Oryctolagus cuniculus: one gene and its partners. The protein of the gene in region 1 interacts with the protein of each later gene in a pairwise test. Links are inferred from orthologs where the notes say so. Each region holds a gene or a part of one and is shown in the gene's direction. Other genes may lie near its edges. The genes, in order: CDC5L, AKAP9 and WWC1.

Region 1 (3,745 bases):
GAATACTGTTTGCAAGAAAGGGCTTGGAAAACAGCAGTGCTGTCATTAGTTGCTGAACACATAGGGAGATCAAGTACACATTGGGAGTTATGAGAAAAATATTTGACTAAATACACAGAATATAAAGTATAGTCATTCTAAAGACACTACATTGTGGGGCTGGTGCTGTGGCATAGTAGGCTAAGCCTCTGCCTGTGGTGCCAGCATCACATATGGGCTCTGGTTCTTGTCCCTGCTGCTCCTCTTCCAGTCCAGCTCTCTGCTATGGCCTGGGAAAGCAATAGAAGATGGGTCCCTGCACCCGCGTGGAAGACCCGGAAGAAGCTCCTGGCTCCTGCTTTCTGATCGGCCCAGCTCCCACCATTGCAGCCATTTGGGGAGTGAACCAGTGGATGGAAGACCTCTCTTGCCCTCTCTGTCTGTAAAGCTACCTCTCAAAAAATAAATTTAAAAAAAATCTTAAAAATATCCTGTTGTATCTGAATAATTTTTATGCCAACAAATGACATCAGCATTATTAAAAACACCTAAAAAGTTCCCATTTCAAGATAAAAAAATTATCAGAACATTCTGTAGTTTTTCCAGAAGACGCAAATGGAGAAATGAAAAAACCTAAAGAGCAAGGCACTATATAAAGACCCAGGACTTTCCTCATCCATTAACTAAATATTTTCATATTTCCTAGGACTGGCGTCAAAGCGATGTTCTGAAATGGGAAAGATGTCTGAGTAACTCGGAAGTGGGGTGGCGGAGAGCTGGACAACCCTTATCCAAGGTTAGGTTTTGGTTTGTCACAGCTAATCCTGCCCCTCCGATTGCTGAAGCCGGTGTTGCTGGCTCCACTTTTCAGACGAGCACTCTGAGATTCAGCACGGGTATTACCCACGCTGACGAGACAGCCAAGATTCCGGCCCAACTCGAGTCCGGCTCCCTTAATACCAGCGCCCATAATGGTCTTTGTTATTAATTCACACAGACTGAATGGCGATGGATGAAAGACGCTGAGGGGACATCGGTGGGGGCTTCCGGGACAGCCGCTGCGCCCCTCCCCGGGGGCAGGTGGAGGCGCTGCCCTCCTTGGAATCGCAGCGGCGCTTTTTGGGAACAGTCGTCTGTCAGACCCTGCACTCCGCTGAGGACCTCACTTCTTAGCAGAACCCCACTGGGTGGGGGCTATTATTACTACTCTGTATTACAGGTTGGGAAACTGAGCCGCAGATAAGCTGTTCTCTTCCTCCTGCGTACTCGACTAGCGAAACGCTCAATAAAGCGCTAGTTCGCGACGCTTTCTCCGGACCGGCTACTCTGCAAGGCCACACACAACCCGTCTGCACCCCCACCGCCGAGTGACGTCACGATGACCAACCCCACCGCGACGCCGGGCCGGCCGCCGCTGCGGATGTCTCGCGAGAGCCATGGCTTCCTCCAGCCTGACTTGGACATGCGCGCGGCGCACGGCGCTACGGCCACAGCAGTTTGATGGTTTTCTGTCAGTCTGTACACTAGAGCTTTGAGAAAGCACTTCTAACCTTTCAGCCTCCCGAGATATCGCGAGACTTGCTATTCTGCCACCGCCCCCCCCGCCACCTCCTTGCGCCTGCGCAGATCTCTTCAAAGCAGAAGGTCGCGCTTGGAGGAAGTGGCGGCTTTGGGTCCCGTGACCGGAGCGCCGTTACTACTTTTCTGAAGCTCCTCTCGGCCGCTTGCCGAGACCACCTGTCGCCAAGATGCCTCGAATTATGATCAAGGGCGGCGTGTGGAGAAATACCGAGGTGAGTCTCTTTTCCCGCCGTCCGCTGCCCTCCGCCCCCTCCGGCAGCTTGTGCGCACGCGCGCGCGCGGGGGCCGGGGAGCGGACGAGGATGCCCTGCGGGGTCTGCGTGGGGTGGGCCGGGCCGCGCAGCGCCAGGGCCGACGACCCTCGGCGCCTCAGCGCTGTTCCCCGCCAGGGGTGACGGGAGCGCCCCAAGGACCGGCGGCTCGGCTCCGAGCTCACCGTCAGGCACTTGTTAGGCCCTTAGCGAACATTTGTTGAGTCGAGGCCGCGCCGCCCCGGCCCCCTTTCCCCGAGGTCCCCACTGGGTGGCAGGAGGGGTGGGACATCCAGGAGAGGTGATCTTCCGGGACGCTACCCCCCCTCAGCTCGCGGCTGTCTCTGGCACCCCAAAACTAAAGAACTTGGTGCAGCCACAACTTTGTTTCTTCGCTGACTTCTTGCAGAGAGGGGAAGCAGCTTGCATACCGAGTTCTCGGCGCCCGTTTCTCCTGCATCCGTCGGTTTATCCGTCAGCCAGGCACAGCCTGTGCGCGCTCTCCCGACAGATGCCAAGGCCTGTCTCTCTCTTAGCTTCCCGTCTCTCCGCCTTGGCATGGCTTGAAGCCAGATAGGACAGACTGCTGCGGGTAGTGTCGTAGTGGATCGTGCCATCTGAGAGCCGGAGAGCAGTAGAAAGGGAGCAAGACAGAAATGAGATTTGAGTGCGTTTCGTGTCGAGTGCCCTGGATCGATCAGTTTCTGAGCACGGCTTATCTCGTGTCTTTTATTACCTCTGTGCCTCCTTGCGGTATCCTCGACCCGCTTGGCATCCTCCTGACCTGGTTCAGAAGCCCTTGGCGGCCAAATCTTCGCCTGTTCAGCCTGTGAGCGTTGGTAGCACCCCCCTGTGGGCCCACGGTGCCTGTCATCCACTTGTTGTCGGCTTGCTTTGACTTTTGCCAGTGTCACATCCTTGGGAGTGATGCTGGCAGGTTTCTCCATTTCTCCAAGCCTTAGATTCCTCATGTTTCTGTGGGGATTAAGTGAGCTGCCACATTTGGGACATTTGGAACAGTCGGGAACACAGTAGCCTTTCAGCCAGTGCTAGGCACCTCTTACCTCTCCAGACAGCACTGGGGGAGGGGAGGGGAACAGGTCCTGCTCTTCCTGGAGCACAGGAGAGTAACCAGCGTGAAGTAGTAGGTTGCTTGGCAGATGTTTGTGGAATGCATCTCGGCGGGTACGCGGGACGTAGCTGTGATCTAAGTATTAGAGGTGCAGCACCACGTGACAGATGAAGGCAGTGCAAGTCCCCTCCCTTGTGCTGAGGGAACTAGGCTGTTTGAATGGAGAGGAGTTGACTTGTGAGGGAGAGACCCGTGAAAAAATCAAGTAGTAGCAGGATTCCTGTGCTACGGTCAAATCTGCTGACAGATTTCTACAGTTGGCTGTGGAACAGAGCCTGCAAGTGAAATGTCTCAAGTGCATTCACATCTGGCTCCATCGTCCTCCGCGCCAGTGGCTTGGCTTGCCAGGCTGCTCTGGGATTGGTACATTCCGTGTTTGGGTGGCAGCCCTGGTGAAATAGTATCTAGAGTCTGGGGGAGACTGGAGAGAGATGACTTGGGAGGGGTTGTGGAGAGAAATATTTGAATCTCAGGTTAGAACTGAGATATGGTCTAATCTGAGATGTGGATTCTTGGGTCGTGGTGGGGCGGATGGGGCTGGGGAGGAAAGGCCGTGCTTGAACTGGAGGCAGGAAGTGTGAATTGGAGAGTGGTTTCATCTGAGTCCCAACTTGCTTTTTGAGGCCTGGATGTGTCCTATTCGATTCTCTCCCCAAGTATACAAGACCTGGTGCAAGGCAAGTGTTCAGGAAGTGTTTTCTGAGTGAAGGTGTAAATGAATGAGCTGTGCCTGCTTGAAGAATGACAGCCACATATTGGAGAATACTTTTTGTTAATCTCTGTCCGAAAGTAGGGTTGCTCA
Region 2 (3,745 bases), on another chromosome or scaffold:
AATGACTGGTATGATATGACATGAATGGACAGGTGTCAAATCACTAGTGCCACACATTTGCCCTTCCTCGGGTTCACTCCCCAACTGACTACAAAAGCTGGATGGGAAGCCGGGAGCCAGAGCTGCTTCCGGGTCTCTCCCGTGGGTTAAGGGACCCAAGCACTTGGGACATCTTCCTCTGCTTTGCTAGGCCCTTAGCAGGGAACTGGAACAGAAGAGCAGCAGCTAGGACTGGAACCAGCGCCAGGTGGGGGCTTAACCTGGTATGCCAGAGCACCCCCCTCCCACCTTTTCCTTTTTTAACCCCAAGTTTCACTGAATATCACCAATACGTTGAACTCGCAGCTTGTTTCCACTCCTGACAGTTTCTCAGCCCAACCTCACTCAACAAAGGAGAGGGGAACTCAACATCAGTATTCAACCTAAGACAGGATCATTTGTATTCACTCTAGGAACGGAGGGTTGGCGAATGGGAGGGTGGTGAAGGGGGCAGGAGGAGGATTGCGGGGCCAGGTGAGTGGAAGAAACGGAAGAGTAATGATCAATTTATAGACGTGACCAGTCAACCCAGCAGTATTTATTCGGAGCAAAGCCCTGTGCTAGTCGTTTATTAATGCCACGGTGAGCAGGATCCATGAGGGGGTCCGTGCCTCCAAGGAGCCAGGAATATCAGGTGACCTAAGAAGCACGCAAGCCAACAAAACGCGTGCAGAGGACATCAAGGAAATTCGAGAAAAACGGCAACCGACATTAATTCGGGGCGATTCGGTAGGCCAGGGGCAGTCACAAAGATGACCACCCTTCCCCAATCCCAGGACAGGTAACGTGTGTCGTGTCAGGTGGTGCGCCCGGGCTGGGTCCCCGAGAGCACCGCTGCCAGAGGCCCCAGCGAGGCTGGATGGGAGTGCAGGTTCAGCAGGAGCCCTCCCGGGGGCGGGGGGCGAACAAAGACAGGAGCCGTGTGCGTGCAGGCGGAGGCGTGCGAGGTGGGCCTCGGAGGACCCGGCAGCCTGGGCGGGAACCGGCGTGGGCCAGGGGGCGGGACTGCGAGGCCAGGGAAGTCACCGCCGCAGTCGCCGCTCTCCCGGTTTCTGGCGTGGAGGAGTCCACCTAGGTTGAAAAGCCGGGGTCCGGCAAGTCTCTCCCGCCTGCTGGCCACTGTGGCTGCTCAGAGGTCCTTCATATCTGATGGCTTCGTGATTGGAAAAACCGCTCTGTTTGAAGAGCGCCGAGTCCCGCGCACCGTGGCGGCACTGCTGGCCGGCGGGCGGGCGGCCCTGGACACCGCTCCCGCCTCAGCCCCGCCGCCGCCGGGAGCCGCCGGGAGCCGCCGGGCCGCGGGAGGACGGCGCGGGCGGGGGCGGGGCCGCGGCGCACCTGCCCGGCGCGGCGGCTGCGCGGACCGACGTCCCCCCCCCCCCACGACGCCCGCCGAGTGTTTACGTGGAGACGAAGATGGCGGCGGCGGTGACGGCGCTGGCCGTGCGGCCCGGGACGAGCCGCCAGTGAGCGCGGAGGCTGCTCGCGCTCCGGGCGGGGCCGCGCCGCGCCGGGCCTGCTCGCTGGGCCGCGGAGCTCGCCGCCCCACCTCCGCCTGAACCGACCTTTCCTGTCTCCCCCAAACCCCGCCCGCTGCTCCGCCGCCTTCCCGCAGAGGCCATGGAGGACGAGGAGCGACAGAAGAAGCTGGAGGCCGGCAAAGCGAAGGTAGGAGAGGCGGAGGCAGCCGGGCCCGGGGAGGGAGGCGGCGGCTGGGCAGGGTGGGAGGGGGCCTGGGAGCGGAGCTGGCGGCGGCCGGCGCGCGCTGGCTGGCGGGGAGCGAGGTGCCGCGGCCCCGCGTTTCCCCCTCGCCCCTTGTTCCAGTAGGGGCGAAGCCCGGCGCCCCCTCCTCGCCGCCGATACTTGGGTGCTGAGTGAACGGCGTGGCTGCTTTCTCGTAAATGCCCAGGGCTGCCGTCAGCTGGTGTTTAATTGCTCCCGAATCTCAGCCTTTCACTTTCTTCAGGGGGTGTTCTGGGCGGTGCAGGCGTTGTGCTGCCCAGCGAGGAGATTCAGGGCTTCTCCTTTATTTGGGGGGGATTGGCGCGCGGCCGGCGGCTCGCCCGCCTCTCTGGCACGCTGGCACTCCGGGGCGTGTGTGATTGGCCTGTGACAGCTGCCTCGGCAGTGGCTCGAGTGTGCCACAAGTGCCAGCTGTGAACTTGGCTGCAGGGGCGTTGACAGAAGCGTGCCTTTGTATGTCTGTCTGCGGAGGTCTTTGTCGCGGCACCGAGGCTGTCTGCATGGAACTTCTGGGAACCCAGAGGTTCTGTGTTCCAAGTGACACCTACAGAATTCCTGCTTTGAGTAATGTCGTTGTCCTCTGTGTAGCTCCGGTGAGCCGCTGTTTCGTGTGTGTGCGCGCGCGCACGAAAAAGCCTGTAAAGCAAACAATACAAAATCATACACAGGTGTCATTCCTTGGGCTTCATGAAAAACTTGACACGAGATACATTTGAATAACCTATTTCTTTTAAACATTGCGTGTTAGACGTGTCTTCTGGTTGGCCCCAAAGGACCCCTTCTTCTTTACAACGAAATGACCTTTTGTAGGTTATCTGCTAATCTCTGTAGAGGTAATTGTCAGCAATCATACTTGGACTGCGGTTAAATGGTAGTGTAGTTAACTGTTTCTCCTCTCCGCCTTCCCTCCCCTCCCCCCACATAAACAAAGGAAACCGGGGCCCTGGCTGCAGTCCTCCGGGAAGGGCCACCTGCAGAGGTGCAGCAGGAGAGTGCTCATCCCAGGTGTGTCTGCCTGCGTGTGTAACGTAGCAATGCAGTGGGCTTTGCAGGAAGCTCCCTCCGCCCGAGGTCCAGGCTCACAGGTAGCCAGGTGGACTTTTAGAATCTGTACATGGAGGGAAGGGGAACAGGGCACCTTCCAGAGCCCCCAAATTGCTTACATTACACAAACCCCGTGTGTCCCTTGAGGGAGGTTAGCTGTGTGCTGGCTTCCAGAAGCACTGAAGTTCTAATCTGTCTGGCTTGGGAATTTTTACTGCTTGCCCCCAAAAATGTCTTTCCTAAAAACATGTGAAGCAGTCCCATGAAAGGTGATTTACTTTGGACAGACATATATCATGATAGAGGATTTAATTAAATAGTTGTAAGTAGTTGATTTGGCAAAATGGAGTTCTGTATGCTCTAGCGGTGTGTGTGTGTGTGTGTGTTTCAAAATTCTACCAATGGAGTAATGTTAATAGGTTAACTTGTATTTCAGAAGTTTATCTTCTTCTGGAGTTAAGCCTGCTTTTCCCAGTGAGAAATCTGTGAAACGTATAAGGCAGGATATGTTTGGGGCCACATTAGCTCTGCAATAAAAATACCGAAATAAGTCTTGAGAGATGATATGAAGAGACTGGCTTTCTAAGATGTATAAATGCAATGGAATAGTATGCAGCCATTAACGTTATGAAGACTAACAGCATGGAAGATAGAATGAAAATGGCATCATCAAAAATAGTCTATAAATTATTTCCTCTCTATATAAGCATGTGTTTTAGTTAGGACTGAAAAACATTGGGTTCTTTTTTTTTTTTTTTTTTTTTTTTGACAGGCAGAGTGGACAGTGAGAGAGAGACGGAGAGAAAGGTCTTCCTTTGCCGTTGGTTCACCCTCCAATGGCCGCCACAGCCGGCGTGCTGCGGCCGGCGCACTGCGCCTATCCGAAGGCAGGAGCCAGGTACTTATCCTGGTCTCCCAT
Region 3 (3,645 bases), on another chromosome or scaffold:
CTGAGCTCAAGTGTTGCACCTAGAAAGGAGTGAGTCCTGGCTTCTCAAGGGTCAGCGCCAGTTCCTGTGCTCCCCGTGCCAGGGTATGGCTGGGATTACCGACAGGCTGATCAGCCAACAGACACCTGCACCATCTGCGTGTTGGCTCTCCCGTTGTAGACGAGGTTTGCATCTGATGGCACGCGTCTGCCTACTTGCTTCTCCTGTAACGGGACCATCCTAGGCCATAAGGGCAGCCACGGGAGCTCCTGCTTCTCTGGTCTGTACCCAGCCAGCGTCTGGGGGAGAGGAATGGCAGGGAAAGGAAAGCAGACAAAACAGAAGGAGGACGAGACTGGATGCTCGGGGGTCTTCAGTCCTCTGCAGGTGTCGGCAGTGCCGGGGTGAACATCCTTCTCCTGGTCTGTCTCACTGGTCCTTGTCCACGGTATCAGGGGGACAGTGCCTAGAAGAGAGGGCCAGCACAGCTATAGTTTTCTTGGGCTTATCGAATTCCCCTGCACAAGGAAGGTTTTGTTGCATTTGCCTCTTGGGGTAGGAGGGGCAGATTCCCCGGTGTCAGCAAGCACTGGCTGCTGCTGGCCTCGGGCTCCGGTTGTATGGAGCGGGGGATTCAGGGACAGGAAGGGCGTGCATGCCCCTCAGCGGCATATCCTGCATCGCTCACAAGTACCCGTGTAGCAACTTGAGAAATTTGCACATTCACAGCCACTGTGAATCTTGGAGATTCAGCGGCTATTTCACCCAACACAGTAGCCCCAGACCTGTGCTGACCCAAGCTCTCCTGCCACCCTGTCTCCCTGTAGGAACGTTCGCGTGGTTATCCTTCCTTGCTCCGAAAGCACCACCTGCCTGTTCCGGACGCCGCCCCTGGACGCCTCGGACACCCTGGTGTTCAACGAGGTATTCTGGGTGTCCATGTCCTACCCAGCCCTACACCAGAAGACCTTAAGAGTCGACGTCTGTACCACGGACAGGAGCCATCTAGAGGAGTGCCTGGTGAGAGCGTATCTCCGTCTGTCCCTCTGTCTTTCTAGCCTTCTAGCCTTCTGGGGATTGGTCCACCCCAGGCTGCAGAGAGAAGGCGAGAAGGAGGCCCAGGTCGAATCACCGGTCAAGTTCGTTGGCTTCTAGACAGAGATACTTTTCCTCATAAGAGGAAGAGTAGTGGGCCTGAGAGAAATGCAGGAGATGCCAGCCACAGACCACAGCTTACCTGTGCAGCATTAAGGATGAGACAAGAAACACTGAATAATGAGAACAAGCAGTTCTTCTTGCTATATAGCTGGGTGGCCTTGGGCAGTGGACTTAACATCTCTGGTGCTCTGTTTTTTCATCCATAAAATGCCCTAGTGATGCCCACTAGGGAAGTTGTTACTTGGATCCAGGGAGTCAGTACAGGAAAAGCACCTGCTGCCATGCCTGACACACAGAAGGCTCTCGTGCAGCGGGGCCCTTACTGGTCCACTCCCTGGAACAGAGCTCATGTGGCTTCCTCCCACCCACTGCACTAGCAGGAGTCAGGATCGGATATGAAGGAGCCTGGGGTCTGTGTGTGTCCTGTCCTTAGGGACCAGCAGCCACATGTACAGGTGGATGTTGGTCAGCCACCTCGTAGATGAAAGGGGGATTTATGTTAAACTCAGGGGCTTGTGACATACAAATCAAAGAAGTGAAGTCTTTGTTAGCCCTGGTGCCATTCTAGAGGATAGAGTATTTTGTTTATTTATTTATTGGTTTTGTTTTTTAAGTTTGAGAGGCTGACAGATGGAGAGAGCCAAAATAAAGCCAGCTCCCATCTAGTGGGTCACTCTCCAATGCCCAGAACAGCTAGGACCTGGATGGGCTGAAGCCAGGAGCCAGGAACTCAACCTCAGTCTCCCATGTGGGTCGCAGGAACCCAACTACTTGAGCTGTCACTGCTGTCCCCTGGGGCGCACATTAGCAGGAAGCTGGAGTCAGGAGGCAGAGCTGGGAATCAAACCTAAATACCTTTTAACTTGCCTTTTAACCACTAGACTGCATGCCTACCCTGAGACAATTTTGATGATAACTCGTGGACTCTGAGCTAAGTGCTTTAGTGTGCTGGCTCACTTCAACCTTACAAAACAGGTCATGTGTACCAGAGGGGAAACTGAGGCACACAGTGGCAAAAGACCTTCCCTGTAGTCACACAGTCAGAGAGTGGCAGGAGCCTTATTGGACTCCAGGCGGGTCCATCTCTGCTCAGGATTTCCTGGAGAGCGTCGGTGGGAGTGGAAGTGTGATGTCCAGGGTCAGGCCAGCGTGGTGGGCATTTCGGTTACAGCAGAAAGCTTTTCCACACCCAGGCGCCTCCAGTGGAGCATTTGCTCAGCCCTGGGCATTCCTAAATCCGAGGAGACTCGTGCTATTTTCTCCTCCTAATTGGATGCCTTTTATTCCTCCTTCCTAATTGAAGTCTGGCCATTGCTGGTTGCCATGGCAGCAGCCAAAGCGCTCATCTCCCTGTGGCTTGTCTCTGTCCGGGGCCAATCGGAGCTCTCCCTTTCCGTATGCCATGGGGACGTGGAGTGTCAGGCTGTCATGTTTTGGTGGTGAGAGGAAGTGAGACGGGAGGAGACAGGGATTGTCTTCTGCCACCCAGAGCCTCCCTGCCTTGTGCGTCTGCTGGGAGCCCTGTGGTCAGCCAGGCAGCAGCAGTCCCCTCACTGGGCGGCGTCTGGGTGTCTGCCCTTGGCCAGGAACTCTGTGTGCAGTATCTCAGTGCATCCTCATGGTAGCTCTGAGAGGAAGTAGTGGGGTGACCTCCCTCTGCCAAAGGCTGATTTACTTCTGCAGATCCTCCAGCAAGTCGATGGAGAAGCCAGGGTTTGTAGCTTCCTTGTGTGTAGCCACTGCACTTTCCTACCTCTTGGGGTTGCTCTGAGTGACTCTCATATCCCCTGACCCAGATCAAGGTTTTGGGGGAACATGAGGCCCGCCTTCCCTGCCTGTTGCAAGTACAGAGTATGCTCACTGTGGCTTCACAGGAGTCCTGGTTGCCCCCTGTGCACCTGCTAAGCTTTGCCACACAGCTCATGCTCTGCCCGGGCGGACCCACTGCCAGGTCTGGTTTACATTGTGATGGTTCCCCTGGCCCATCTCACATGGCCACGCTCACTGGGCCGTGTCCCAGCCCTTTCCTTCCTTTCCATCTGACGAGTGGGAACAAATGCTCACAACCCAGCTGTATGTATTGTGCTGTCTCCGTCCGTGCTGTCTACTTTCTGTAACTATAACTGAGCATCGCAGTCTGAGTCATTTGTAAAAACTAAAGGTTTATTCTGCTCACAGTTGTGCAGGCAGGGAAGTTCAAGATCAGGTAACTACACTGAGTGAGGGCTTCTCTGCTGGTAAAGACTCTGCGGAGTCCCAAGGTGACACAGTGCATCCCACAGCAGACAGAAGGTCCCGGCTGGGTCTCTCCTCCTCTTTGGATAAAGCCACAGTCCTGTTGCCTTAGGGTCCCATCCCTATGGCCTCATTTAATCTTACCACCTCCAGAGGGTCCCACCTCCAAGTACGATACTCTGCTTAAGTCTCTGTTCTCTTAGCATCTCCTAGGAGTGATGGAATTTCAGCCTGAGTTTGGTGGGAACACGCACACTGTGGCAGGCAGTGTTG

Evidence for each region.
Region 2: the proteins of CDC5L (region 1) and AKAP9 interact in a two-hybrid assay, tested with the Homo sapiens proteins (2 studies listed by BioGRID and IntAct). The link is inferred for Oryctolagus cuniculus from reciprocal best matches to the Homo sapiens genes CDC5L and AKAP9.
Region 3: the proteins of CDC5L (region 1) and WWC1 interact in a two-hybrid assay, tested with the Homo sapiens proteins (2 studies listed by BioGRID and IntAct). The link is inferred for Oryctolagus cuniculus from reciprocal best matches to the Homo sapiens genes CDC5L and WWC1.

What each region holds. Positions count from the first base shown.
Region 1 is NC_091436.1:125,738,280-125,742,024, reverse strand, and holds the start of CDC5L (cell division cycle 5-like protein), read left to right. Parts: upstream 1-1,389; 5' UTR 1,390-1,727; coding exon 1,728-1,772; intron 1,773-3,745.
Region 2 is NC_091447.1:43,776,186-43,779,930, reverse strand, and holds the start of AKAP9 (A-kinase anchor protein 9), read left to right. Parts: upstream 1-1,573; 5' UTR 1,574-1,659; coding exon 1,660-1,707; intron 1,708-3,745. UniProt on the Homo sapiens protein: Scaffolding protein that assembles several protein kinases and phosphatases on the centrosome and Golgi apparatus. Required to maintain the integrity of the Golgi apparatus. Required for microtubule nucleation at the cis-side of the Golgi apparatus.
Region 3 is NC_091437.1:55,263,392-55,267,036, forward strand, and holds part of WWC1 (protein KIBRA), read left to right. Parts: intron 1-806; coding exon 807-999; intron 1,000-3,645. UniProt on the Homo sapiens protein: Regulator of the Hippo signaling pathway, also known as the Salvador-Warts-Hippo (SWH) pathway.